Linked DNA regions of Lonchura striata. The protein of the gene in region 1 purifies or fractionates together with the protein of each later gene. This does not show direct contact. Links are inferred from orthologs where the notes say so. Each region holds a gene or a part of one and is shown in the gene's direction. Other genes may lie near its edges. The genes, in order: CRNKL1, CCDC12 and DHX8.

The links.
Region 2: the proteins of CRNKL1 (region 1) and CCDC12 purify together in Homo sapiens (co-immunoprecipitation; 3 studies listed by BioGRID and IntAct, with this or other methods). This does not show direct contact. The link is inferred for Lonchura striata from reciprocal best matches to the Homo sapiens genes CRNKL1 and CCDC12.
Region 3: the proteins of CRNKL1 (region 1) and DHX8 purify together in Homo sapiens (affinity purification with mass spectrometry; 3 studies listed by BioGRID and IntAct, counting the BioPlex papers as one, with this or other methods). This does not show direct contact. The link is inferred for Lonchura striata from reciprocal best matches to the Homo sapiens genes CRNKL1 and DHX8.

Annotation. Positions count from the first base shown.
Region 1 is NC_134605.1:28,351,214-28,360,376, forward strand, and holds the start of CRNKL1 (crooked neck-like protein 1), read left to right. Parts: upstream 1-5,278; 5' UTR 5,279-5,364; coding exon 5,365-5,412; intron 5,413-5,603; coding exon 5,604-5,756; intron 5,757-6,277; coding exon 6,278-6,369; intron 6,370-6,469; coding exon 6,470-6,628; intron 6,629-6,975; coding exon 6,976-7,142; intron 7,143-7,641; coding exon 7,642-7,820; intron 7,821-8,444; coding exon 8,445-8,615; intron 8,616-9,163. Other genes in the region: CFAP61 (cilia- and flagella-associated protein 61), read right to left, coding at 123-199, 2,231-2,381, 3,022-3,164. UniProt on the Homo sapiens protein: Involved in pre-mRNA splicing process. As a component of the minor spliceosome, involved in the splicing of U12-type introns in pre-mRNAs.
Region 2 is NC_134603.1:155,997,328-156,007,597, reverse strand, and holds the start of CCDC12 (coiled-coil domain-containing protein 12), read left to right. Parts: upstream 1-5,775; 5' UTR 5,776-5,796; coding exon 5,797-5,922; intron 5,923-10,270.
Region 3 is NC_134627.1:6,041,301-6,051,424, reverse strand, and holds the start of DHX8 (ATP-dependent RNA helicase DHX8), read left to right. Parts: upstream 1-6,057; 5' UTR 6,058-6,104; coding exon 6,105-6,216; intron 6,217-6,528; coding exon 6,529-6,614; intron 6,615-7,202; coding exon 7,203-7,275; intron 7,276-7,604; coding exon 7,605-7,690; intron 7,691-8,289; coding exon 8,290-8,399; intron 8,400-8,487; coding exon 8,488-8,799; intron 8,800-9,081; coding exon 9,082-9,226; intron 9,227-9,704; coding exon 9,705-9,908; intron 9,909-10,124. Other genes in the region: NBR1 (next to BRCA1 gene 1 protein), read left to right, coding at 1-99, 700-1,057, 1,374-1,471, 2,013-2,082, 2,789-2,894, 3,280-3,453.

The DNA of each region.
Region 1 (9,163 bases):
ATCAGGCCTCTTCTGGCAGATATTTGACAGGGCACCTGGATGAGACTTCTTGACTTGACAAACGTGATTTGACAGCAGGAGAGGGCATGCGCCTCACCACCCAAGGCTACACAGGAACTCACCTAACAATTTCTTGGGAACATCCTGCTGCATAATCTTCCTTTGCCACAAAGAGATGCATGAAGAGTGTGTTCAAAGGCTACAAAACAAGGAATGAAAGCCTACACACCATGCAGCTCATGTTAATTCCATCAGCTCAAGTATTAGTACACACATACATTTCCAATATACATGATTTGCACTCAAGGAGCAGCAAAATATACATAAGTGACTTCAAAGCATGTGTGGGTAAAGTTACGTGATTAAAGTGCTTTATATAATTTTGTGCTTCTGCAACATTTTTTCTTTCTACTCAGTTTACTATTGTTTGACTGCAATACATGCTGTACATTTCATATTGAACAGTATTAATTCTTGACTAACAACATCCAACCACATTAAACACTCAACATGTGTCTAACAAAGACATTCTTTTAAGGTTAAAAGAAAAACCACAAACCGAAAGCTCACCTGCTTCTAATAATCCTAAAGTGGTTTTTCTTTAAAGGTAGTAAGAAAAATTACATATTTTAACATGACATCATTAGACACACAAATACCAGGCAAAAACAGAGCAGACTAACAGACACCTTTATCTTGTGCACCTCCACTAAACATGGAAAACCCCTGTGCTGGAATGGCAAAGGCTATTAAATCATCTGTTCTCTAGCATATTAATTACAAGTCCTGGGTCAGAAAAGGTCTGCTTGAAGATAAAAATAATTTAAATGTAAAACCTGAGATCTTTTGAATAGTATAATATTCAATTAAAACACCACAGCTAGAGGCACCAATAAACTTCAGCAATTTAAGAGCAAGAATGATTTCAATAGAGGCTGCAGTACATGGACCAGCATCAGGACAACAAGCTATTCTAACAAACATCTAAAGACATCCCTAAAAATCAGGCAGTTTGTTTTTTTAGAAGCAAAGGGAAGAAATAAAAAAATATATTACTGTTGAGGTCCGAGAGGACATCAAGTATACCAGACGTGGACTGTAACTGTTTCTGGATAGTGCTGGTAACCAGACAATCCAGTACAGCATCTTCACTTATCCCTTTCTGCACAATTCAACTCCCACTTCAGACCCTGAAATTATTTCTGTACTCTAGGAAAAAGACAGGTCAACTATACTTCACAGAATTCCTACATTCAGATGACCTCAGTTTTGAAAAGCACACCTGCATGGATTTAACCTACAGTTTACCAATGACATCTCATCAAGTTATACGCCAGAAAATGTTCAGCTTTCTGCCAATGCAGAAGCATAAAACACTGACTCTTCTACACCTCCTTTAGCAAATAAATTCCATTCTAGAAAAATAGAATGCTGCCCGTTTAAAGATATTTTTCACTACTGGTTCTGAACAGTAATTCATTTTTCTTTTCTCTGCAGACCCCTACACCAGATCCCACAGAGCCACCACGCAGCCTGAGGGAGATCATAGCACAGCAGAACCCACAGAGAAGCTGCAGCCTGAATGAAGTGGCTGTCCACAAAATGCTGCTCAAGGGACAAAGTCCATTACTAGGAAATCACAGGTCCTTTCTGCACACTCTCTTTGGCTGTACTGGTGGTGTTTCCTTTAAGAGCACACATTTTCAAACACTTTGTCAGTTTACCTTCAAGCCATTACTTAACACTACAGAAGACCATAGGCAACTGATGAACAAAATGCCCAGAGATAACTGCAGCACTGCCAACACCTCTTAATGGCACATGCTGCACACCTTATGAGTGCTTGGGGTTTAACATTTTCTGTATTTTTTCAACAATTCCACAATCTAGTTCCCAGCTGGACTTGGTGATGTGGGAGCATTTGAGTGCTAAACTTGTAAGGGCCTGTTTCTGTAGATCCTACCAGAAAGTCACAAGCTCACCGAAGGAGCCCATGTGAAAGTCACCAGCAGCCAGCAAGACACAGAGCAGTAGTCTCCCCACCAGCACCGAAAAAGTTCTCTGCAGAACTAAGGTTCCCCTTGTCAGCACGAGGGTTTGACAAGGACTCCATCACCTTCTGTATCCTGAATGCCTCAAATCTACCAGAAACAGATCATAGATGCCTATGTGTATTTTCCATACCTGAACCTTAAATGAAAACTCAACTAAAATCACACTATTTACTTACAGTGCATTTATTGTTAGTGTAGTTTTCATGCAGGAATGGTTCCCATTCAGCCTGATCAGTGATATTCCAATTCGGATAGTCCAGAAAGGCAGCATGAGCTATAACCTCATTCTTCTCATTGCAGAGTGTTAAAGCAAGATTTGATAATTCTCTATGAAAATAATTTAATTTTGCACAAGTTAAAGAAACTCCACATAGAAAAGTGACTTACTGCAAATTCAGCCTGCTGAACAGCAAAATTAGCCATGTTCAAGAGGGTTCCCAGGATCAGGCCTGAATTAAACTTCACCATCCACATGCTGACTTGGAATTGTTACTTCAGTTCCACACATTTGTGCTCTAACATCATAAAAATTCAGGAGGATTTTCAAATCCTCATATTAGTAAATTTGAGATGCAAGACTTAAACATTCCCTTCAAAACATTTGTATGTGTCTTCACACATGTCTTTTTCCCCAAACAGCTGTTATGCGTGATTTTTGCTATTAAGGGGGAAAACATAAGTGACCCACCAGTATCTATCACACAGCCTGTCTGCTGACAGCTTTTTTCAACAGCATTTCTTCTGATCTTTTACAAAAAGAAGCTAGTACAGAATTAAACCTTCTCCATCATGGCAGAGACCCAGGTTTGCACAGTCATCATGTGACAGACATGAAAGTAGATTTTCTTTCAATTTTTAGAAGCAGCACAAAAAATCATTATGCCACACCATGTCAAGGGTCAGAATGTTTTCTGCCATTTTAAGTGTAATTTTCTGAAAGGTGACAACCTAAAACACCATTACTTACAAAAGGTAAGTGACATCAATCCTTCCAAAGAGGTCTTCTGTGACAGGTCTGAAGAGGCTGATAATGCCCGAGACATCATGTGACTTTGTCCTTCTGGCAGTGACCACATCTGTATTTCCCCTTGATGAAGTTACTGTGGCCATCCCACAAGCTGCACTGAGAACGAAGGAAAACACTTCTGGCTCCAGCCATCCACTGCCATCCCCTGCCCAACACAGTCACTTCAGGTGGGTTTTCATAAAAACTCTAAATTGGGGCAGTTTGTATGGATTTGGTGCCTGGCTCCTGCATACCACCACACAGACAGGCACTGCCTGTTCGTTGCACACCTGAAATGCAGTAGGCAATTACTCCTATGGTCTGGATCCTACAGAGGAAATTAATTGTTTTAATAGGCTACAGCTGCTTTCCTATTTATTCATTAGCATGCTAACCAGCTCATCACCAAGAACTTCAAACTCAAAGGCCTTCAGTGGGAGGCTCAGCTGTGGGCAGTCAGGGGAAGCAGGCTGGAGACTCAGCTGCAAACAACCAGGTACACAATGTTCCAATTAAACAGCAGTTTCACATGAGTTCACTGTATTTTGTCCAAAACTCCTTCTCGGATTTCTTTTGAGATCAACAGTAAGGCTTAAATTTCTGAAGGAATTCAAAGTTCTGTGGCTATTCAAAGTTCTACTGCTTTCTTACACAGAAAAAAAAAAAAAAAAAAAAGTTGTTTTTTTTTTAATGGCTCCACATTGAGAAAATGTGCCAGGCACAGCTGATATGTTGATCCGTCCAGCAACTTTAGAACACACCGGGGCATCAGATCCTCAAACCACTTGTGACCATTCCCTCGGGTCTAACACCCTTTAGTTCTGTGTCTCTGTGTCTCCGCTCAGTACTGCAGCCTGCTGTGACCCAGTCAACAATCAAGCACGTGAAATAAAGCGACCAAACAATGGCTTCCCGCAATTTCTTAAAATTCATATGCAAAATATAGCAGTACTAACTTAAAAAAAAAAAAAAAATCTAAGCCAACACACCTGGACCAGCAGAGCAATTCCACCACTCTGCCAAACACAACAGCCACTTCCAACAGTGACCCCAAATGCAAATGTGATGCTCAGTTATCAAGCACCTCAATTCCTAACTAAAATGAAAAACCAAAAGAAATTCGGACTTTCACACCTTTTAAATACAGAGTTACATGCACTCCTACATCTTTCACATTCCAGCGTCAACGCAGGTCCTGAAATTAACCTGAAGGAACACATCCTCTGCAAACATGCGTCAATTTTAAAAATGAAAACTAACACGAACTTTAAAGGGCTATTCATCGGCTGAGGTTTAGCGCACTAAGATGACTTCAACTGAGGAAAACTGCTACGTTTTCAGTCAATTTTTAAGTTAACCCCCCCCCCCCCAAAAAAAAAAAAAAATACACGCATCTCCACCGGCTCCCCAAAACGCTCCCACAGCCAGAGAAAGCAGTAAAAATGTACCATTTTCGTAAGGAAATACGCTGCTCCTACAGTAACTTCTGCACTCGTCCCGCGGAGCAGGATCCCAGAGACACCCAGCAGAACAAGAAGAGGAGGGCGTTCCCCTCCCGCACTCAGAGCACTTCCCTCCCGCCTCCTCACACAAACGCTCTCTTGAAGCATAAGACTCCACGCGGTTTCTTTGGTGTTTGTAGCCCACATACCTCGGGAGGGCTGCGAAGAGCTGTGGAAGGCTACTGCGGGAGGCTCTTGAGGGGCACCCCTGGTGACTTGGGGCGGGGCGGAGCCGGACCGAGTCGGACCCGGGGCGGTACGGCGGGGGCTGGACACGGGGGCTGGACACCGGGGCTGGACACCGGGGCTGGACACGGGGGTTGGACACCGGGGTTGGACACCGGGGCTGGACACCGGGGCTGGACACGGGGGTTGGACACCGGGGCTGGACACCGGGGCTGGACACGCCCGAGGCGGCCTCAGGACCCCCGGCCGCGAGCCCCCTCAGGCACGGTGGCCACGCCCACGCACGCGGACAGACCTACACCGCCGAGCCGCCAGGGGGCGCCCCGCCGAGCGCGTGCATCGCCCGGCCAGCAGCGCGCGCACTCACCTGCCCTGTCCCCGGCGCTGCAGAGCCAAGTGGCCACGGAGCGCCCCAAGGACAGGAAAGACAGCGCAGATGGAACAGCTGAGCCCACGGACGAGACAGACCGAGCGGTCCTACGGACGGAACGGACAATCCCACCGCCCTCCCGCCGCCGACCGGGACGCGTCGCTGTTGCCGCGGCAACGACGCTCGGGCGGTGCTGCGTGAGGTCAGGGGTGCCGGGGCGGGGCCGGCGCGCGCAGCGGCGGAAAAATGGCGTCTACGGCAGCGGGGAAGCAGCGCATCCCCAAAGTGGCGAAGGTGGGTGGCGGGGAGGGCGGCGGGGACCCCCCGGGACCCCTCGATACCCATTCGTCTCGGGCTTCGCGTCCCGGCGGGCTCCGACCCCGCCCGCGCCGGGCACCGCGCTTCGCGAGGCGCCGGAGGAAATTGATCGTGCCGGTACTGCGTTAAGAAATGTGAGCCGAGCCCCCCTTGTCCTTACCTTGCAGGTGAAAAACAAGGCACCCGCCGAAGTTCAGATCACAGCGGAGCAGCTTCTGAGAGAGGCAAAGGAGAGGGAACTCGAACTTCTCCCACCGCCTCCGCAGCAGAAGATCACAGATGTTGAAGAGCTAAATGACTATAAACTCCGGAAGAGGAAGGTACAGTTAAAAAGAAAAAAAAACCGGTTTAATCTTGACACTCATATAAAGCACTAAAATTCCACTGTTTTTAACTTAAACAAGATGTAGTCCCTATTCCTTGTGGGCTTTCCAGTTGAACACAAATTCTTTAAAACCTTTTTTCATGCTACTCTTTAGCAGAACCTGCAATTTACAGATGTGTTGCTTGAAACTGTGCCTGTGTTCAGAACACTGAAAGGGTAATTATTTACACAATTAATAGGAGTTTTCTTCATTACCAGCAGTATCTGGCCAGCCACTATAAAAATATGAACAAAGACAGTAAATGACACTACAGTAATGCTGAGTTATAAATCTTCTGTTGAAAGAATTGCTTTGCTCATGCAGATTTACCCATGGTTTTGCTTGGCTTTTTGCTTTGAAAGTACCTAAGCTAAGCAAGCATATTCCTGATGGTTATTATAATACCCCATAAGCCATTTTTGATGTGAATTGTCTGCACAAGGATTTCTGACTTACAGATAAAATTTTCTCCTCAGACTTTTGAAGATAACATAAGAAAGAACAGGACTGTTATCAGTAACTGGATAAAGTACGCACAATGGGAGGAAAGCCTGAAGGAAATACAGAGGTAATGATGATGTGACTGTAGGCATATCTTAAGGGCGTTTTTAGACACACACTAAAGTCTAGGAGGCACATTTTACCTGCCCTGTACTCATGTTTTCCAGAGCCCGTTCCATTTACGAGCGTGCTCTGGATGTGGACTACAGGAACGTCACCCTCTGGCTGAAATATGCCGAGATGGAGATGAAGAACCGCCAGGTCAACCATGCCCGGAACATCTGGGACCGGGCCATCACCACCCTGCCTAGGGTGAACCAGTTCTGGTATGGTGGCCAAGCAGTGAGATCCCCTTCTAGCCCCAAAGACCCCCACAGTATTTGGCTGTTCTGGGGTTATACAGATTATCCTGCTTCTCTTCAGGCTGGTCTGAAAAAAATGGAGGAAAGCTGAAGTTTTGGAAAGGTTTTGTACTTTTTAAGTGGTAAGAGCCTTGGGAGAGAAGGGTGTTTGTGTGCCTGGATACTGCCAGTCACTGCTGTGCTTACAGACATTTCTGGGGTGGGAGGAAATAGGTGAGGGGAGCTCAGGGATACTCTTAGGAAGCACTCCAGAAATCCCTGAATGGATATGTTCCCCATGTGATTGCAGAAACTCAATCTCCTTTCTCCAGGTACAAGTACACATACATGGAGGAGATGCTGGGGAATGTCGCTGGGTCACGCCAGGTGTTTGAACGGTGGATGGAGTGGCAGCCAGAGGAGCAAGCCTGGCATTCCTACATCAACTTTGAGCTCAGATACAAGGAGGTGGACAGAGCACGAGGCATTTATGAGAGATATATCCTTTTCAGAGTCTTGTGACTCCTGCCTGAGTTAAGGTCTCCATTCTTTATTTCCTTCCTAAATATTCCATGTCCAGCAACGTCCCTGTACTCCTTTTCACTGTGGTGTGCTGGGAATGACCCACCACCCTGGGAACCAGCAGGAGGTGTTAAAAGCGTGTTTAGGGAAAGCCTCCAGATTCAGTGGAGTGGCTGCAGGTTGTACCACAACAGTGTCTGTTTAACTGCACTGCTCATGCACCCAGCTCTTTTGTAGCTATCGTTTGTTTCTCCTCAGATATTCCCTGACCCTTATCCTTTTTTAAGTTCACAGTAAGGCACAAAACCTTTGCATGCTTATACCTGTCAGTGTCTTCTTCCTAGCTGCATTTATTGTTCCCCACATGTACCATCCTGGTAGGTGTTTGATGAAGTCCTTGACCCAGTAGTCCCTGGGAAGAACACAGCTGGGGATGTGCCACTCGGCCAGCACTGTTTCTTTAACAATAGCTGTACTTGTCCTCGTTCACCCTGACGTGAAGAACTGGATCAAATACGCGCACTTCGAGGAGAAGCACAGCTACTTTGCCCACGCCAGAAAGGTGTATGAGAGGGCAGTGGAGTTCTTCGGGGAGGAGCACATGGATGAGCACTTGTATGTGGCATTTGCTAAGTTTGAGGAGAACCAGAAAGAAGTAAGTTTTTCTTGATCTGAGTCATGCCAGTGTTTCTCCTTGAATATCAAACTAAAGGCATTTAACATTCACTGCAGTACTTGCAGTTCTCAGCCCCTCATGACTGTAGTCTGAATTAGGGAGACAGTTTTTTGCTCACCTCTAGTTGCCTTTTGGTGCCATCAATAAAATGTGTTCTAAGGGAGATCTGCCAAGCCCAGGACCAACAGCATTGGCTCAAACATGTATCCTCAGACTGGAGGGGTTCTGAGAGGTTATGGGCCTGCATGATAGAAAACTGGATTGGTCTAGATGTTTTTCACAGTTTCTAAGGTTCCCAGGCTGTTATGAAATTGAAGACATTCTGTGAACCCCAAACCACAACCTCTTAAATTGGTTTAAATATTCTAAACCTGTAAATGAATAAGAGATGATGGGGGCTGGCATTTTCAGATTTATTTTTTCCCCCTCAGAGTTTACTCTTCAGGGAGATCTGTGTTAGTCCTCTTTTAAAACAATTGCTTATGTTGGAATGTCTCACCATTCTGTATTCTATTAAATATTGCCAAAAGCTCATTGAAATGCTGTCAGGGAGGACAGAAACTGCTTTGTAAATATTTATGAAATTATATTTAATATTTTTAGTTTGAAAGAGTGAGGGTTATCTACAAGTATGCCTTGGATAGAATTCCAAAGCAGGACGCCCAGAATCTCTTCAAGAATTACACCATCTTTGAGAAGAAGTTTGGAGACAGGAGGGGAATTGAGGACATCATTGTCAGCAAGAGGAGATTTCAGTATGAAGAGGAGGTGAAGGTATGTAGGACAGGTACCCTCCAGGCTCACTGTACAGCCAGCTGGTGTTTAAGGGACACGAGTATTTTGTGATATCAAGGCTGATGAGTTTCAAGTTACCCTTGAAAGTCAGTCCAAAAAAACACCAAGGGAATATTCATTTTAGAGACAGAATTCCATCCCTGGGGAAGAGAATGGTATCTAAATTCACTGCTTTTTTTGTTTCTGCTTTCTAATCTAGATTGTGCAGGTGAGGGTTTTGGATTGAACTCAAGGCTTGGTACCCTTAAGGATAATGCAGTTTAGCTTGTGGTTACTACTTAGGGAATATCCATTATAGGACACCTCACCTGTGCATAAATACCTTTTAGTGAGAAAACACCTGTGCCACACCTGTCTGCTGTTCAGTCCACACTGCACATTTCATCACTCCTCATCCCTTCTGACACTTTGCTTGGACTGCCTTCATTGAGACAATGCTGAGGGCAAAACAAAAACAAAATTTAAAGAAAAGTCACTTTTCCTAAGCTAAAAGCTCTACCGTAACCATCCCCAAGACTGACAGTTTT
Region 2 (10,270 bases), on another chromosome or scaffold:
CCCCATCCCTGAGCACCCCAACGGGGCACTCTGGGGTCACACAGAGCCCCGAGCACCCCAGGGTGGCACCTTTAGTGTCACCCCCATCCCTGAGCACCCCAGGGTGGCACCTTTAGTGTCACCCCATCCCTGAGCACCCCAGCGGGCCACTTTGGGGTCACACAGAGCCCCGAGCACCCCAGGGTGGCGCCACATGTGTCACCCCATCCCTGAGCACCCCAGGGTGGCACCGTTAGTGTCACCCCATCCCTGAGCACCCCAACGGGGCGCTTTGGGGTCACACAGAGCCCCGAGCACCCCAGGGTGGCACCACATGTGTCACCCCATCTCTGAGCACCCCAACGGGGCGCTTTGGGGTCACACAGAGCCCCGAGCACCCCAGGGTGGCACCTTTAGTGTCACCCCATCCCTGAGCACCCTAGGGTGCCACCTTTAGGGTCCCTCTCGCCCCCGAGCACCCAGCGCTGCCCTTTGGGCTCGCTCACAGCCCTGAGCGCTGCACTGCGCCAATTTGGGGTCCCTGTGCACCCCACTGTGGCACCCTGGGGACCCCCACACCCTGATGCAGCACCTTGGGGGTCACCCCAATCCCTGAGCACCCCGAATCCCCCACATCCCGCGGCGTCCCCCCATTCCCACGGTGACCGTCCCCGCTTTTCCGGGATCCCGGCGCTCCGCCAGGCACCGCCTCGACGGGGGTGGCGGGGGGGGGACACCCCAAAATCCGCCTCCCCCGCCCTTCCCGCTCCACGCCGAGCGTCCCCCGGGCCGGGGGTGTCCCCCGGTCCCCAGGGCCGGTACCTGTCCCCGCGGGTGGCCGTGGCCATCCATGGCCCCGCAGCCGTGGGAGCGGCGCCGGCGCAGCGGGGCCGGAACGGGGTGCGGGGGGTGCTCAGGATGGGGGCCCCCCTTTTTTTTTTGTCACCGCTGTCGCTTGTGCAAAGCCACCGAAAAAGCCCCAGAGCCAGGAAATGCCAAGTCACCCGCGGCCCCGGCGGCGCTTCCTGCCCCGCCGCGGCCCCGCTCGGGGACCCCGCGGTGCCACCGGCGCCCCGCGGCGAGGAGCTGCGCTGCTTCATCCCGGAATTCCCGGCAAATCCAACCCCCAAATCCCGCCCGAGTGTTGAGCTCGCTCCCAAGTTCCCGGAGCGCCCACCGGGAGCTGCACCCCCAAAGTCCCGGTGCGCCCTCCCCGGAGCCGGTGCCCCGGAATTCCCGGTGCGCCCTCCCCGGAATTCCCGGTGCGCCCTCCCCGGAATTCCCGGTGCCCCGGAATTCCCGGTGCGTTCTCCCCGGAATTCCCGGTGCGCCCTCCCCGGAGCCGGTGCCCCGGAATTCCCGGTGCGCCCTCCCCGGAATTCCCGGTGCGCCCTCCCCGGAGCCGGTGCCCCGGAATTCCCGGTGCGTTCTCCCCGGAATTCCCGGTGCGCCCACCTGGAGCTGCTGTTCCAAAATCGCCGGGGCACCCGCGCGGAGCTGCATCCCGGAATTCCCGCCGTGCCCACCGGAGCGGCGCTCCCCGAGCTGCCGGTGTGCCCCGGTGCCGGTGGCGGTGCCACCCGCGGAGCTGTCGCAGCCGGTTCCCGGCTGGCAGAGCCTGTTCGGCGGCTTCGGGGCTCGGCCGGCGCGGAGCCGCCTGGGAGCGCCGGGAATCCGAACCGGGAATGCCAGACCGGGAAGGGGAACCGGGAATGCCCAGCAGGGAATCTGAACCGGGAATGCCAGACCGGGAATGCGAACCGGGAATGCCACACCGGGAAGGGGAACCGGGAATGCCCAGCAGGGAATCTGAACCGGGAATGCCAGACCGGGAATGGGAACCGGGAATGCCACACCGGGAAGGGGAACCGGGAATGCCCAGCAGGGAATCTGAACTGGGAATGCCAGACCGGGAAGGGGAACCGGGAATGCCCAGCAGGGAATCCGAACCGGGAATGCCAGACCGGGAAAGGGAACCGGGAATGCCACACCGGGAAGGGGAACCGGGAATGCCCAGCAGGGAATCTGAACTGGGAATGCCAGACCGGGAAGGGGAACCGGGAATGCCCAGCAGGGAATCCGAACCGGGAATGCCAGACCGGGAAAGGGAACCGGGAATGCCCAGCTGGGAATAAGAACTGGGAATGCCCAGCCGGGAATGCCAGACCAGGAATGCCAGACCTGGATGCCCAGCCAGGAATGCCAGACCAGGAATGCCAGACCAGGAATGCCCGGCCAGGAATGCCAGACTGGGAATGCCCAGCCGGGAATGTGAACCGGGAATGCCAGACCAGGAATAAGAACCGGGAATGCCCAGCCGGGAATGCCCAGCCAGGAATGCCCAGCCAGGAATTCAGACCGGGAATGCCCAGCTGGGAGTGCCAGACCGGGAATGCGAACCGGAAATCCAAACTGGGAATGCCCAGCCAGGAATTTGGACCGGGAATGGCCAGCCCGGAATGCCAGACCAGGGATGCCAGACTGGGAATGCCAGACTGGGAATGCCAGACCAGGGATGCCAGACCAGGAATGCCCAGACCAGGGATGCCAGACTGGAATGCCAGACTGGGAATGCCAGACTGGGAACGCCGCCCTTCCGCCGGGAGCCCCCAAAAAGTGACGGTGACAAAGCCGGGGGGATGTCACCCCCTGCACTGAGCGCCGCGGGTGACACCGGGTGACCCCGCGGGGCTGGCACTGGGGTCACGCTCCCGCCACCCCTGGGAGGGGTGGCACAGCACAGCCACCCCTGGGGACAGCCCTGTCCCCTGTCCCCTGTCCCCTGTCCCCTGCCGGGCCGGTGACAACAGCTCTGTCCTGCTTTGAAGCCACCGGAGACACCGCGGCCATGCCCGGGCCACCGGCTGGGGGTGGCAACAGGGACACAACCATCGAGTGACACTGCCATGGAGTGACACTGCCATCGAGTGACACCGCCATGGAGTGACATCGCCATCGAGGGGAGGCTGCCATGGAGGGGACATCGCCATTGAGTGACACCGCCATTGAGGGGACACCACCATTGAGGGGACACCGCCATGGAGGGACACCGCCATTAAGGGGACACCGCCATTAAGGGGACACCGCCATCAAGGGGACACCGCCATTGAGTGACACCGCCATTGAGGGGACACTGCCATCGAGGGGACACCGCCATTGAGGGACACCGCCATCGAGGGGACACCGCCATTGAGGGACACTGCCATCGAGGGGACATCACCATCGAGGGGACACCGCCATTGAGGGGACACTGCCATCGAGGGGACACCGCCATTGAGGGACACCGCCATCGAGGGGACACCGCCATGGAGGGGACACTGCCATTGAGGGGACACCGCCATTGAGTGACACCGCCATTGAGGGGACACTGCCATCGAGGGGACACTGCCATTGAGGGACACTGCCATCGAGGGGACATCACCATCGAGGGGACACCGCCATGGAGGGGACACCGCCATGGAGTGACACCACCATGGAGGGGACACTGCCATCGAGGGGACATTGCCATCGAGGGGACACCGCCATTGAGGGGACATTGACATCGAGTGACACTTGGAAGGGACACTGCCATGGAGTGACACCGCCATCGAGGGGACACCGCCATGGAGTGATACTGCATCGAGTGACACTGCCATTGAGTGACACTGCCATTGAGGGGACACTGCCACCGAGGGGACACTGCCATGGAGGGGACACCGCCACCAAGGGGACACTACCACCAAGGGGACACTGCCATGGAGGGGACACTGCCATGGAGGGGACACCGCCACCGAGGGGACACCGCCATCGAGTGACACCGCCATGGAGGGGACACCGCCATCGAGGGGACACTTGGAGGGGACACTGCCATGGAGTGACACCACCACCGAGGGGACACCGCCATGGAGTGACACTGCCATGGAGGGGACACCGCCATCACCTGGGCCATGTCCCCCCAGCCTTGTCCTCACCAGGGCCTTGGGGACACGGCTGTGGCACAGGCCACAGGGTTTTGCTCTGTGTCCTGGCTGGGAGGTGACACCGGGCTCTGGCCACGTCCCTGGTGCCTCAGAGGTGACACGGCCACCCCACTGGTGTGGCACGGCCAGCAGGACACCCGGACAAGTGGCACCTGTCCCCACACAAGCGTGGGTGACACGGGTCCCCTGTGAGTGCCCTGACAGCACGATGGGACCCTGCAGGGCCGTCAGCCCCTGGTGACACCGCACGTGTCCCCACGGACACGCCACAGTGTGACATGTGTCCCCTGCCACCACACACCCCCCTGACGGATGGCACCGGTCCCCATCCATGTCCCCTCTGTGACCACACACAGCTGGAGGGTGGCACCTGTCCCCTGGACACAGCTCAGCAATGGCACCTGTCCCCAGAGTGCCACGGCCACCTCGATGGTGTGGCACCTGTCCCCACCCAACCACGGCCACCTCAGTGCCCCCATGGCCACCCGGACAATGTGGCACCTGTCCCCAGAGTGCCACGGCCACCCCGATGCAGCGGCACCTGTCCCCGTGTCACCCCCCAGCACGTGGCCCTGTCCCCCCAAAGCAGGGGTGACCCCGTTTTGGGGTGCCGAGGAGGGTCCCAGGTGACATCGCGGGGCCAGCCGAGCTGACAGGCCCCATGGGTGTCCCCAGCCCGGGCCACAGCGGGGTTTTGGGGGAGCAGCTTCACCCCAAAACCCACCAGGGTGGGTGACAAGGGGGTGGTGACACTTGGGTGCCACCTCTCCGGCAGGACCCGCCCCCACCCGGGGTAATTCAGGACAAAACGACCACGAGCGACTTTTGGGGTGGCGCGGGGGGGGGTCCCCACCTAGGGACCCCCTTGGGGACATCCCCCAGGACTGGCAGAGGGTGCCGGGGGTCCCCAAAACCGGCCCCCGCCCGTCCGAGCCCGCTGTCCCCGCCCTGTCGCCGCTCCAATGTCACCTGCGCCGGGCGGTGGCGACACGCGGACCCCAAAAATCCTCCCGGGGGGACCCCCCAAACCCCCCTGGGGAGCGGCGAGAGGGGCGGGGGGACCCCAAATTCACCGCGGGATGGGCGGGTGGGGGGTGGTCCCCGCGGGATGCGCTGTCCCCAAGGCGGTGGGGGGGTGTCACGGGGGGCTGGGTGGCTTTGGGGACACCGCGCAGGTGACAACGGCGTGCGGGGGGGACACGGGGGTGGGTCCGGGGTGTGACAGCGCAGGGGGGGATGCGACAATGGGGGACAGGCGGGGATGGGGACACGGGGGCGGGGGGGTGTCCCCGGGGGTGGCGGCGGCGGTGGCCGTGGCTCACCTTGGCGAAGTAGAGCATCCAGAGCTCGCAGAGCCGCTCCCGGGAAGAAGCCATGCCCGGGGCCGGGACCGAGCGGCGGCTCCGCCCCGCCCCGAGCCCCCCCACCCCCGGCACCTCCCCCAGGTGTGTGTGTGGGGGGGGCGGGGACTCCCCTCCACCTGCTGCGGGCCCTTCCCCACCCTCGGCTTTCCCTTCCCTATTCCCGCATCCCCGCGCGCTCATTAATGGGGTGAGCAAGGCGAAGCCGCACCCCGCCCCAAATAATTAGCGCTGATTAGCGCAGCTGAGCCCCGCTCGCACTCGGAGGTGCCCTGCACGAACCGAACCCGACGCTTTCGCCTCGTTTTCCCCTTTAATCTCCTTTTAAAGCATCCCCAAACATTTAATGGGGAATTTTTCACCTTCCCCCCCCCCCCACCGCCACCCCAATCGCCCCCAATCGATTGCTCGCATCGATACGCTCGGCGCTCGGCACGCCCGGCCTGCCGCGCATGCGCGCCGCGCGCTGTACGGCAGCGGGGGACGCGGGGTGCAAGATGGCGGCGCCCGGCGGCGGCATGGACGGCGCGGAGGAGGCCGAGGGGTTCGTTCTGGGGCGGCTGGAGGCGGAGGCGCTGAAGCGGCGGGAGCGGCTGAAGGCGCTGAGGCAGCGGACGCTGCAGGTCGGGCCGGGCCGGGCGCTGCCAGGGCGGGGGAAGCGCTCGGAGGGGCCCCGCGGTGGGGCCGAGGCCGCGGAAGGCGCCGTGGGTGCCGCGGCCGGGCGGAGGGGCCCAGGGGAATTCTGAGAATTTTGGGATATTTGGGGTCCTCGGGTCTTTTGGGGTGTCAGAGGGGCCCCAGGTGGGTCGCAGTTGTTTGGGGTGTGGGGGTGTTCAGGACATCCACGCGGATCCCGAGTTTTTTGGGATGTGGGATGCGGGTAGTGTGGAATGGGGCTGGGAATGTTGGGGGTGGCTCTGGGATTTGGGATGCAGAAGGTTTGGAATGGGGCTGAGGATTTTGGGGTCCCAGAGGGGCTGGAATGGGGCTGGGAATGTTGGAGAGGAATGAGAACATCTCACGCAGATCCCGAGTTTTTTGAGATTTGGGATGCAGGCAGTGTGGAATGGGGTTGGGAATGTTGGGGGTGGGTGTGGGGATTTGGGATGCAGAAGGTTTGGAATGGGGCTGAGGATTTTGGGGTCCCAGAGGGGCTGGAATGGGGCTGGGAATGTTGGGGGTGGCTCTGGGATTTGGGATGCAGAAGGTTTGGAATGGGGCTGAGGATTTTGGGGCTCCCGAGGGTCTGGAATGGGGCTGGGAATGTTGGAGAGGAATGAGAACATCCCATGTGGATCCCGAGTTTTTTGGGATGTGGGATGCAGGCAGTCTGGAATGGGGCTGGGAATGTTGGGGGTGGGTGTGGGATTTGGGATGCAGAAGGTTTGGAATGGGGCTGAGGATTTTGGTGTCCCAGAGGGGCAGGGAATGTTGGAGGGGAATCAGAACATCCCACACGGATCCGTAGTTTTTTGGGATCCTCTCTTCTTTGGGTGGGATGGCATTTGAGGATTTTGGGGTCCCAAAGGGACTGGGGGTGTCACATCCCAGACGGATCCTGAGTTATTTGGGATGGGGCAGGAAGGGATTTGAGGATTTTGGGGTCCCACAGGGGCTGGAGATGTCCAAGGGTCCCTCATGGATCCTGAGTTTTTTGGGATGTGGTGGGACAGAGGATCGGCTCTTCCCTGCCCTCACCCCCTCCATGTGCAGCCTCTGGGATTTTTGGGGTGCTGCTCCCAGGGCAGGGTGGAATTCCCAATCCCACAGGGATTGAAATCCCGTGGCTGTGGGACCCGGATCAGTGCTGGCAATGGTTGGACTCCATCTCCAAGGCTTTTCCAACCTCGAAAATTCCAGGATTCCAGAACTCTTTTCCCATCACCAGCGGAGGCAAAATCTTGGGAAAAACCCCATTCCAAAAACTTTCCTTCTTCTCCTTGAACAGGATCTCCCCGTTTCCTGCCAGGGAGGGTTAATTCCTAAAAAAAACCTGGGATTGGCTTTTCCTCAATCTCCCCTGCCATTCCCATCTCCATGGCAATGTGCACGGAGATTTTCCCTAATTCCCTCTTTTCATCCCTCTCCATTAAAAAAAAAGGATTAAAGGCTCCTTGGGATCCCAAACCTCATCCCGGGCTCCTTTCATCTCCTGGAATTCCAGCTGGATTTGTCCTTTTTTTCCGGAGCTTTGGGATGGGATCCGTGGAAATGAGGAGTGACACGGAGCCTCTTTGGGATGCTGTGCCAGAATTCCCCTTGGGAATTCTCTTTCATGGGATGCTTTGGTGGGAAGGACCTTCAAGGTCATCCCGTTCCATGGGCAGGGAATTCCAAGCAGCACTTTGGTTTTTAGTGGAGAATTCCTGGTTTTCCAAGGATGGAAAGCTGAGAGGAGGAAAAAAAGAGTGGGAAAAGGAAAAATGGTAGGAAAGAAAAAGGATGGGAAATAAATTTTTCCAACTGATCGGATCCAGTATCATTCCAGAGGAATGGAGGACAATCCCAAGCTCTTGGAAAAGAGCTGGGATATAAAGGAAAACTTTTCCCACCCTGCTGGAAGATTCTGGGAGAGCTCAGCCATTCCTGGCCTTTGGGGAGAAATTTGGGAATTCTGTTGTGGTGTGGAAAAGGTTTGGGTTGAAATTCCTGCTTTATCAAACCTTGGAGAATCCCAAAATCCCGGATTTCTTTTGGGAAAGAGCCTGAAAGTTCCATGGGCAGGGAATTCCAGTCAGCTGCTGTGGAGCTCTTTGGTTTATGGAAAATTCCTGGTTTTCCAAGGATGGAAAGCTGAGGGGGGAAGAAAAGGGTGGGGAAAAATGGTGGGAAAGAAAAAGGGTGGGAAATAAATTTTTCTTTTGGGAAGAAACCTTAAACCTCACCCAGTTCCATGGGCAGGGAACCCAGAACATTCCAGGCCTGAAATCCATAGGGAAGCAAACCTGAGGCTGCGATCCCGGCAGGAATTCCAGGTTTTAATGGGAATAAACCCTGGATATTCCAGGAGGAGCCGCCCCAGGATGATCCCGAGCTGGTGAAAATTCCAGCAGTTTTTGTGGAGCAGCTCAAGGTCCTTGGGAAGCTTTTCCTGCTTTTTTTTTGGGAGCTGTTAAAGGCTTTTATCCTTTTCCTTTATTCCCCGTTGGTTCCGTTCCCTTTGACAGCTCATCCCTTTGTTTTCCTGCCTGAATTCCAGAAATCCAGGGAATGCAAATGATCCCAGCTTCAGATCTCTGGGAAACGTTTCAAGGGCAATGGATTTTCACTGGAAAAAAAATCCTTGGACGTCCAGGACTTCCTAAAAATTAGGGAGAAGCTGAAGGAAGGAAAATATCTCAGAAATATCTGGATTTTCCCTGTTTCTTGCATCCCTTGTGTTAAGGAATTTTGCTTTTCCTGGAGTTTTCCTGTCACTCTGGTGTCTCGTGGGTGAAATTTTGGGTTGTTCACGGAGAAACCTGGATTGTGTCCTGCCTGTGGAAAAATCCAGTTTTTCTGGGATTCTCTTAGGGTTGGAGGCACCAAAAATAGGGAAAAAGGGAATTTCTTCTGTCTGCTCCTTCAGTTTCCAGATCAGATTCCCTCAAGGAAAATTCTCCAAAAATATTTTGGTGTAAAAAATAACGGGAGAGGAGAATAAATCAATGGAATAAGGATGTTCCTGCTTGAAAATTCCATGGAAAAATGGGAAGCTGCTCCTTTGTCTGCAGTGCTCAGATTCCCTAGGGAATCCAGCAGAGGCTGAGCTGTGGGAAGGTTTCTTTGTGGGAATATATTCCAGGATTATCCAGAGGATTTAAGTTAAAATCTGGGAATTCCTGCTTTGGGATTCCCACTTTTCCTTTCTTCCCATGGAAAGTAGGGGATGAAGGACTTTTTCCCATAATTTAAGGAAAAAATTCCTTGCTGGGACAATATTTGGGAATTCCCATTGGGCACATCCTAGATTTCCAGTTTTTCCCCTTTTTATGTGAAATTCTGGGATCTGATGGCTCGAAGTTCCACTCTGAGGGAATTCCCAGGAAAATTCCCTGGGAATTCATCTTTTAAGGTCTATGGGGGTGCTGCTGATATTCCCAAAGGATCCCTCAGTAAAATCCAGGTGGGATCGCTGGCTCAGATTCCCAAAATTCCTAATCCAAGACCTCCACAGCTCCTTCTCCTGCCTTTTTATCCCCAAATCCTTAAAAAACCAGAGCTTTGCCGTGGTTTTTTTTGGGAAGGAAGAGTCTCCCATCGCTCCGGAGCATTCCCTGTGTTGTTCCTCGAGCTGGAAAAATTCCTTTGGCTGCATCCCAAGCTTTTGTTCCCGGCTGGATTGGCTCCAGAGCCACATCCCAGCTCCTCCACACCTTCCCGGCGGGAGGAAGGGCCGGCACTGCTCCTTTCCGCTGCCTTTTCCTGCTTTTCCGCCCTTTCCCAAAGCTCTGGACTTTGGCTGCTCCTGTCCTTGTTTTTCCTGTTTTTTATTTATTTATTTATTTTTTTTTTTATCGTGCTGGGATTTGTTTTTTGCTCCTCGTGATCCAGCGCCAGAGGCTTGGGAGAAGAGTTGCTGTGGAAACGGAGCCCTGGGAAGTTTTTCCAGCCAGGATAAAACCCCTCGGAGGGCTCTGAAGGATCCTTTCCTATCCAGGCTTTTTTTGGAAAGTCGGAACGGGCTGGAAATGTTTCATCCTGGACGTTCTTCCCAACAATTCCAGCCTGGGAATGTTGATTTGGAGATAGGAGAGGGCTGGGATGGCTCAGGTGGGATCCTCAGGGCTGGAGCAAAGTTCCTGGAGCAAATCCAGACGAGGTCACGGAGCTGCTCCAGGGGTGGAGCCAGGCTGGGAGAGCTGGGAATGTTCACCTGGAGAAGGGAAAATTCCAGGGAAAGCTCAGAGCCCTTCCAGGGCCTGAGGGGCTCCAGGAGAGCTGGAGAGGGACTGGGGACAAGGATGGAGGGACAGGACACAGGGAATGGCT
Region 3 (10,124 bases), on another chromosome or scaffold:
GCTGCAGTACAATAACTGAAGAATCCCCTATGATAAATAGTAATTCCAAAAAGGAAGCAAAGATTCATCAGTTAGAACCAGTGACAGAAAATTCATGTGGTAAGTAAAATGGGCTTGAATGTAAGATAAAGCTGTAAAAAAATCATGTGTAAGACCTGACACTGTTCTAGGAAAACTGATCTTCATTAGATGAGGAGAATTGTTAGGTTGTCCCAGTTGTGAGAATCATTACATCAGAAAATCGGTGTCAGTACTTTAACAAGCAGCTAGTTTAACAGCTGCTTTTTAAATACATGAAATTGAGACCAAAGGGTTCCCCTTGGGTATTCAGATAAGTGCTCATAAGTTATACATGGTGCCTACATATTTTTTACATGGAGCTTGCAGTGTTTCTGACCATGTTTCTAATGTGTGTCACTTAGGAGCTGAAAACTACAGTTTAAATCCTATGTGTAGCTCTTACTTCAGTTTTTACTATGAGCATTAATACCAGCAGTATATTTGCAAAGGCTTAACATTAAGATCTATTACACTTTCACACTACACCCTCCCCACAACAGGGAAAATGACACCATTAATGCAGCAGCTAAGATTTACAGTTGTTTCTAAATACTTGTCTCTTACAGCTAGGAGAATTGTGTCTCTGCTGTTGTCCATACAAAATGGACAATGGTAATACCTCACTTTTTTTCCTACTAGGGGACCTTCTACTGTCTAATGAGAGCACAAGCCCCCGTAGTGGTATTAGCAATTGTGATGAAGAGGAAGATGATAAGGATGATGTTCAGAGTCAGTGCTCCTCTGCTTCCTCAGAGGAATACATCATTATTCTCCCTGAGTGCTTTGACACCAGTCGGCCATTGGGTGACTCCATGTATAGTTCAGCTCTTTCTCAGCCTGGTTTGGAAAAGACAGGAGAACCTGAAACAGTAGCAGAGAACGCAGAAGGGGGAAGCCAGCCACAGATCCAGAGGGTCAGTGATACAGTGACAACTTCCCAAATGGCTGCAGTACCATTAACCCCAGCAGATGTGGACAGCTTACCCCAGGCACAAAGGTATGACTTGGGGACAAGAACAAAATGGTGATGCTGGTATTGCTGTAGAGTCTGCAAGGTCTAGTGCTTTGCAAGTAGGAATTGTAACAAAAATTTTATCATATACTGAGTTAAATGTTCTTAAATCCTGCAATTTTATAGAACTTGATTTAGGCTCTGTATTTTAGGTTCTATATTTTTAACTCACTGATTTAGGTGAGTGCAAGAGAGGGAGAGATGGGAGCATGTGAAGTTTTTTCTTTTTTCTGTTATCGTGACTTATTTATGTGTGTACATGTGGAAAAAAAGTAGTGATGTTTTTGCCTTATGTTCTCAGGAATCTTTCATCTCTTCAGAATTCTATCTTCCAAGAATCAAACACACCAGCTTCAGAGCGTATCTCTTCTGCTTCTCATGATCACATACAAAGAGAAGGTATTGACAGTATTTAAATGGTGCAGACTATTGCTATCATCTATTCCTTATGCCTAGTATTGAATTTGATGTCTCCTTTCTTTTGAGGAGAGCAGAAATCTATCAAGTAAAGATTTTAGTTTTTCTCTAGGTGTTGAACTTTTGCTATGTGGATGTTGCAAATAAAGAAATAATTGACTTTGTAGATCAGTTAAGAGCATCTATTATGAGAAATGGTAAGAAGATACTCAAAAGTACATACAGGCATCTGGAAAAATCCCTTGCTATGGAATTGATGAGCTATGTATTTAAGCTGCTGTTACAGTCACTGAGACAGCATTTCCTCTTGTGTTAAACACCACTGATGAATCAGTCATATGGTTCTGAAAATCTTCTGACTGCTTTCACTGCAGTGAGAATCCTGGATACCTGGTCTACATAACTAAACTTAGAGTATTACTGTTGTACTGAGACACACTTTTTTCTGTTTATGTATGTGTGGCATTTCTCCAGCTTAATTGTCATTAACTGGACATGTTGACATTTTGTCTTCCTCTTCCAGAACCCAGTGGTGAAGATACTCATGGGCCAGGATCTTCTGCATTTCTCACTAAGTTCACAGAATACCCGAGGTAATGAAGGTGAAGCTCTGACTTCACAAACACTATTTTAGACTGAGAACAGCTTAATTAGACACCTAGGAAAAAGCTCTGGCCTACAGATTTCATATAGTCACTAATTTAAGAGAGGCCTCCCTTCTTAAAGCAAACATGCTATGTTTTCACAAGATCTTGGTTTCTATTTGGGCACAAATCAAAAGGATGCAGAACTGGCAAGCCAAAGTTAATGAAGAGCTTGAGTTGAATGCTTCTAAAATTCTGTGGGTTTTTTTTCTAGAAAATCTCAGCATTCTTAGGATGATGATTTTACAAGCTAGCTATAAAGTAGTCTTAAAATACTGAGATTGGAGAGGTAAGTCAAAATGTTGAGTAGAATATGAAGTAATTTAAGTATTCATAGAAAACAAATAGAAGTTAGCCTACCCTGAATGGATGTGTCAGTGCACAGCTTTTATGTAGGTGTGTTCTCTTCTAGATGAGAGCACTGAACTCTTTACAAAAGGTCCCTTCATGGAAAGCATACACCCACAATTCAATAAGAGGTGTCAAGAAAAAGGAATGAGCTTCTTGCACAGCTCACTTCCCAAACACTGCTGATTCCTTTGGATCACGGGCTGTTGTCTCCAACAGTCTTTGCCTCAACAGGCAGCAATTTGCCTTTCACTGATACAAACCCTTGGCTTTACTGACCCTAAAGCAGCACCTGGTCTCCTCACAGGTACCCTCAAGGCAGCAGCATTGCAGGAGAACTCGTGAAAGGAGCTTTGTCAGTTGCTGCTTCTGCCTACAAAGCATTATTTGCTGGACCACCCATTATTGAACAGGTGAATGTCTTTCTGTGTGCTGTGTGAGTACCATAGAATGATAACCTTCAATTTACAGGTGTATGTTTTTTAAGTGTATCAATATTCTATATTGGAGTTAATGTAAGAGTAAAATGTTAAGTTTGATGGTGTCTCTTTGAGGTTTGCTTCTCTCAGCAGACTGGGAAATCCTTGCCCTAGGGATGAAAGCATGCCTCTTGTAGCATTATGTAAGAGTAATACCTCACTTTCATAAGTGAGCAGTGAAAGGGATTATAAATAGCTTAAATGGGGCCAGAAGAGCCTCTGTGCCTCAGTTTGATTCTAGTATAATGCAGGGCTGCTAGTTCAAATGGCAAAAAATAAATTAACTTTTTAAACTAACCTTACTCCCTTTTGTTTTCAGCAGCCTGCAGCTCCAGAAGAGCAGACTGCCTCTCTGCTGTCCAGTCTGTGTGAGATGGGATTCTGTGACAGGCAGTTAAACCTGCAGCTGCTGAAGAAACACAACAATAACATGATTGAAGTGGTGACTGAATTGCTTCAGATCAGTAACAGAGACTGGTGCAGTAGGTGCTAAAGCTGCCTGGTGGAGAGAGGAATATTCTTCATTGAGTAAACTCTGATTAAAGATAGCGAGAGTAGCAGGCTGCTCCTCAGCTGCTCTGTTTGGAGGTTTGACTTAAAGCTTCAGCTTTTCTTTGAGCATTTGACTTCTTTTTCTTTTTACCCTCATGGAAATGTCAAACAATCCTTGTGGCATCTCTTGAAATGGATACCAGAATTTCAGTTATGATTTGGACCTCTTAGTTAAATGAGTAGTCTTCAAATCTCTGATTTCAGATCAAATCCTTTTACCAGGTAATCATGTAGAATTAAATGTTGTACCCAGATGAGAACTTCCCATTTTATTGTGTATATACTTTTTATTTTAGGCAGCTGGAAATTTGTCGGCTTAATTAGCTTTGGAATAGAAACTGGTGTAAAATGCTGCTCTAAAATGTAGTCCTGCTTAATTTACAAGAGATGCCTGCAACTAGGAGGTTGTTTCTTCTGAGGATTTAGTAACTGGTTTTCCAATGTTTGATAGTAAAGTGACAAATTTAAATCTTAAAAATTATTCTAAGAAAAAGAAGTTGCTCATAAAAGAAAGCCATCTTGAATCATCAAATGACTTTTGAAAAGTCTAAAAGTGTAACTGCAGTTCAACTGATGAATTCCAGTAAAGTTGTTGCTTCTTGTAGCAGAATGAAGCAGGAGAATTACCACCAGCAATTGAACCTCTAATGATAGTGCACACCAGATCCCTAATAGTAGAAGTATAACCTACATAAAACATTTTGTTAAAAATGGAGTGTCAGGGTAGGAAAGCATTTTCTAGGAATCTTTACAGGCTCTTAGTAAAAATATAAAAAATTTGACCATTATCTTTTTTCACAATAGTGCAAACATTTTACTCTGTTAATACCACATTAAAAAAATGCAAGAATGTGTAGGAACCCAGACCTGAACTGGAGTACAAATTTTGGAAATGTTTAGGAATGGAAAGAATGGGTGAAGCAGGGATCACATAACTTTACATTAGAGTTTGAAAAATGCATTAACTTAAGCACTTTCAAATGTACAGTCTCCTCTGATGGTTTTAGCTGGTCCTGTGTTTCCATAGCCACATCTGTAGAATTCATTTTCTTATAAGATTTTTAGATACCCAGATTTAATTTGGAAATCTAAGAATTTCCTTCTAAATATGCTGAGAGATTTGATTCTAAAGAATGACATAAATGAGCACCAGCCACTGCTGTGCAGTGGGGTATCCAGATAACTCCTCAGAGTTCAGTCCCTCAGCAGGTGACAGTGTTGGCTATGTTCTTACTTTCGAGTAAACATTTTTTCCTTGCTGCAGTAAGAGACCATTGATTCTGAAGTATTTTATATTGCTCCTGCTTCAAACTAGTATTCCGTTTTGTCACAGTGTCAGTATTGTGCTGACCAGGTTATCAATAATTTTTAAAAAGACTTTAGTACCCATAGAGATAAAATGCCATTGAAATAGTTGAAGAAAACAAATGTATCATACCACTTCTGTTTTAAACCTATTTTTATAGATTGTGGAAGATATACTCTTAAATGTTTATTTTGAAATACAGTAGAAGTATTTTGCAGTGTTTCCCATCTCTCTGTACACCAGTACAACTATGTGCTGTGGACCAGTTAAAGATCCTTCTGTAACTTTCCACCTTCGGTGTGTTGTTTTGAGTATCTTTTTACTAATGCCAGCTGTAGAGCAAGGAGGAGGACGGACAGGGGTGAAATGCAGAAGCTGATGAGACTTTGAAGCACAGTGTGGTTTTATATTTGCTGGGGTCTGTCAGGCCCAGCAGGACCCACGTTTGCCATGTGTACCTTTGTATTTGGGATGTTCATATGTTCTATAAAGTACAAAACTAAAGCATTTGAAGTGGAGCACTTCACTGCAGATTGAAGTGGCAGGTGTGAGATGCTGTTCTCTTTAGGCTCCTTTTTCCTAGAGTTTAGATGCTGTATGCTCAGGCTTAAGATAGCTATATTTCTGTTGGCTTTGTATATTTTGCTAATGGATGCATGATATAATTTATAATATATTCTACAGAGCAGATGTGACCTCTGTGTCTCATTTCGGGCGAGCACAGGCGCTGGGGTGGGGTTCGTAGCCGAGCTCCTGCCGCGGGCGGCGGGCGCGGCAGCCCGGCCGCTCCTCGCCGCTGCCTGGGGCGCACTCAGCTCCTCGGGCCGGGGCTTCGGCCGTGCCCGGCGGGGTCGGGGACAGAAGCGGAGCCACAAGTCCCGGGCTGGCTCTCCCCCCGCCGTTCTGCTCCGTACCCGGCGTGCCCCGAACGCGACACTCGGGCTACCGCAGCTCGCCGGCCTTCGCTGGGGACGGAAGCGCCTTTCCGCTTTGGTTTAGGGAAAGCCTTTGCACGGCCGCGCCGATTCGCCCAGCAAGGCTCGGTGCCCAGCAAATCCCGCCCGCTGGCCCGGCACGGCTCGGTCTCATCATCCCGGCAGGGCCCGCTCCGCTGTCCCGGCCCCGCTTCCGGCCCGGCCCCGCTTCCGGCCCCGCTTCCGGCCCCGGTCCCGGCCCCACTTCCGGCCCCACTTCCGGCCCCGCCCCGCTGTCCCGGCCCCGCTTCCGGCCCCGCCCCGCTGTCCCGGCCCCGCTTCCGGCGCGTCCCGGAAGCGGCCGCGGCGGCCATGGCGGAGCTGGCGGCGGCCGAGGAGCTCGCCAAGCTCGAGTACCTGTCGCTGGTGTCCAAGGTCTGCACCGAGCTCGACAACCACCTGGGCATCAACGACAAGGACCTGGGTGAGCGGGGCGGGCGCGGCGAGCTCCGCGCACGGACAGGGCGGGCTTGCTCAGGGCCGCAGCAGCCCTTTCCGCGCGGCCGGGTGCGTTTTGTGAAGGTGCTTTTCGTTAAAAAACAGTATTTTTCTTAAAAAAAACCAAAACCTGTGAGCCTGAGGGAACGCTGCGATGTGGGCTGCCGGGGAGAGCCGAGGAGCAGCTCCCCGGGCCCGGATGGTCCCGCACCTCCAGAGCGGCTTCTGCCACACGTGCAGTCCTTACTCTGCTTTTTTACGTTCTTGCTTCAGTTTACTTTGTGCTTTTTCCTCACAGCCGAGTTTGTCATAAGTCTTGCCGAGAAAAATACCACGTTTGACACATTTAAAGCAATTCTTCTGAAGAATGGTGCTGAGTTCACTGTAAGTGGCGCCTGAACCTTGTTTATGTGTTATTCTTGTTGTGCCATATTTTATAGAGCTTTCCGATTTAAAGAGAGTTATGAGCAGTTACTATTGGTTTTCTTCAATTGGAAAACTGCATACTAAATAGCTTCTGATATTCCTGTCTCCTCTGCCTTCCCCTTCCTCGTATTTTTAAAAAATTTTGTAGTCTTTGAAAAGCCTCTTCCTGAGGACTCAAGCTGCTTATTGTTGTGTTGAGCATATAAAATACGGAAGAAACAACTTTTCATGAAGGCAGATATCATAAGTCTTCTTAGGATGCTTATATGCTGTATTTATTGATGTCTCAGGAATAATTGTGCTTGGATTGAATAGTTGATTAAAATTATTAACAGAAAAAGACAATTAGGATAATTTCATCTAAGTGACTTGAGTTCAACTTACGCCTTTTTAGGGCATACACAAAGCCCAGTGATAGTTTCTAAAAATCAACCTGCATCTTCAGAATTGAGCATATTTTGTTCTGCGAATAAACCCCCACTCGTGCCTTGTAATAATGAAAGTGTTGCAGTCATTTCCTGAAGTATTTTACTGATTTTTTTTCAGGATTCCCTCATCAGTAACTTGCTCCGTCTCATCCAGACGATGCGGCCTCCACCAAAACCATCCACGAGCAAAGGTAGGTGGGGTGAGACTGGTGCAGCTCCTGCTGTAGTCTTGTAAGGCAAATCCTCTTGCACCATGCTTGCTGCTGCTGTTATTCTGAGGGTGCTGCTCAGAGTGGTCAGTCTTTCAAATATTCACTAATAATCAGAATTTTCTCTGAAGGAAGGCAACACGGTATTCCTTGAATTGAATCTCTGTAAAAGCTGTATCAGCCTTTGCGTTCAGACAAAAATTAAACTTTATATTCAATTACAGAAAAACGAAGAGTGAATTGTTGTAGCAGTTCTGAGTTTTGTGTTTCATTGTGCTTTTTTTTTTCTTCTTTTTGAATCTCAAAATTAGAGGCAGTTGTCAAACCCAAATCCGAGAAAGAAAAGTTGAGGGAATTGTATCCAGCCCTTTGCAGGCCAGACAATCCCAACATCAGGGTAAGGTTGTAATTTCAGATTTCTTTTGTGACTGTGTGAAAACTTTTTTTTTTTTTCCCCCAGTCAGTTTCAACCTTTTTTCTCTGTCTAATGCATGAATAAATGTGAACTTTGAGAAATAAAATACGGAAGAGGTAGAAGGCTGGTGTTACTGCACATTGTTGCAAAGAATAGGTGTTAGCAATTGCCATGTTCATACTGTTTTGCAAAATATGTGGAGGATGAGACTCTTGTGGCATGAAATTTGTAGCCTGGCCTTCCTTACATAATGTTCAAAGTAATGATGTGTTGCAAACTAATTAAAAATGTTGTATATTCAGATGCTATGAGGGACTTGCATTTTGTATTTCTGTAACAATCTGAGGCATTGAGATGGAACTTTCTATTGTATAAAAGCAGAATTGTCTCAATATTTTGGCCATACAGGGAGAGTGCTTTATTATTTTCTTTCTTTATCACATATTGAGTCTGATCTTTTTTTATCTTGCATTCTTTCTAAATAGGTACACATATGATGATAATTCTGTAGATTAATTCTTTGTGACAATCTTTTTATCAGCCCTTTTGCAGAAAGGAGCATCAGTTTTTTGTTCTTGCAGAATATGCTGGATGAAGATGATGTGAAAGTGGCAGCTGATGCCCTGAAAGAACTGGAAGCTCTGATGCCCAGTGCTGACAGGCAGGACAAGCAGAGGGACAGCGACCATCGGTAGGAGTCTTGGGGAAGGGGGAAGGTCTTGGCTGCTCTCCTTGCCTGAGGTGAAATCCACTGCAGAGATCTAAATTTGGTTTGTTAGGGCGAAGAAAAGGAAGAGGAGCCGAAGTCGTAGCAGGGACAGGAAACGAAGGCACAGATCTCGCTCCAGGTCCCGTTCCAGGACTTGGGACAGGAACAGGGGAAAATCCAGGTACCGGTCGAGGAGCAGAAGTTGGAGTCCCAGTAAGGACCGCAGGGATCGGGAGAAGTACCTTGAAAAGAGCCATGAGAGGTGGAGAGACAAGCACATAGACCGGCCACCGGCTGAGGAGCCGTCCATCGGGGACATCTACAACGGCAAAGTCACAAGCATAATGCAGTTCGGGTGCTTTGTGCAGCTGGAAGGACTAAGGTACCCTTGGCTGTTTACTGCAGATCTGTTTCAGCTCAGGTCTCTTTTCTGCTGGTACCTTAAAGATGTGATGAAGCTACCAGCAGTTGTTCTGGGCTTTGAAGGGCTGTTTCAGGAAAGTGAGTTTAACAGTAGAGAATTAGAAAATTCTTGTTACTAAAACTAGTTTGTGGACATACACAATCTGTTGACAGCAACATATTTTAATGTAGTTTCTGAGTGATCTGAAGGGCTGTCAGAGCAGTAGTGTGCCCCTCTCATGCCCCTCTGTTTCACTCCTAGGAAGCGCTGGGAAGGCTTGGTGCACATCTCAGAGCTGCGAAGAGAAGGACGGGTTGCCAATGTTGCTGATGTTGTGAGCAAAGGACAAAGAGTGAAAGTCAAAGTGTTATCTTTTACTGGATCCAAAACAAGCCTGAGCATGAAGGTACAGAGGTGCTAAAATTCTTAAAATGATTCCTCTTCTAGCTATTTTTCACTCTTTTTGATGAAAATTAATACATAGCCATTCAGTTGGGAGTTAAAAACTGAATTACTGTTCTGTATTTAAATGATCTATTACTTTTTACACATTTTCTCTAGTTTTGATGTAGTGTTCCTAACAATTTCTTGTCTTGATATGATATCAAAGAGACAAGGCAAGGCAAACCTCAAGCTGTTGCTGTTTGTCTTCCTTTTTCAGTAGGAGAGAAACTTTTAATTTTAAACGAAATCACTACTATTGCCAAGACAGAGTAGAGTGTTCCATGCCTGAGGATGTTCTTACCTGGCAGTACCAGGTGAAAAAAACCAAAAAGCTAAAAACCAGCATTTTCTGTGAACAGGATGTTACTGCCACTAGAAATCACCAGAGTTAATAGATGAGAAATGCAGAGCTGATTGATTAATCAATCCATCTGATGTAGGATGTTGATCAAGACACTGGGGAAGACTTGAACCCAAACCGTAGAAGGAATCTAGTTGGAGAAACCAACGAAGAAACCTCCATGAGGAACCCGGACAGACCCAGTCACCTGTCCCTGGTGAGCGCCCCCGAGGTGGAGGACGACAGCCTGGAGCGGAAACGCCTCACCCGCATCTCTGACCCAGAGAAGTGGGAGATAAAACAGGTCTGTGCTGCATTCAGGGAAATAAGATAAAGGTGATAAAGTTGCCAGGGAGTTTAATGAGCTAAAATACAGCTCCTGGATTAATTGATTGTGTAACTTACTCATTAACTCACAATTGCTGGCTTGTGATCTGGGATTGTTTAGTTGCTATTTGGAGTAACAGAAGGAGTGTTTGGTCAGAGGATGGGTGAGTTATGGGGAGGATACAGGATACAG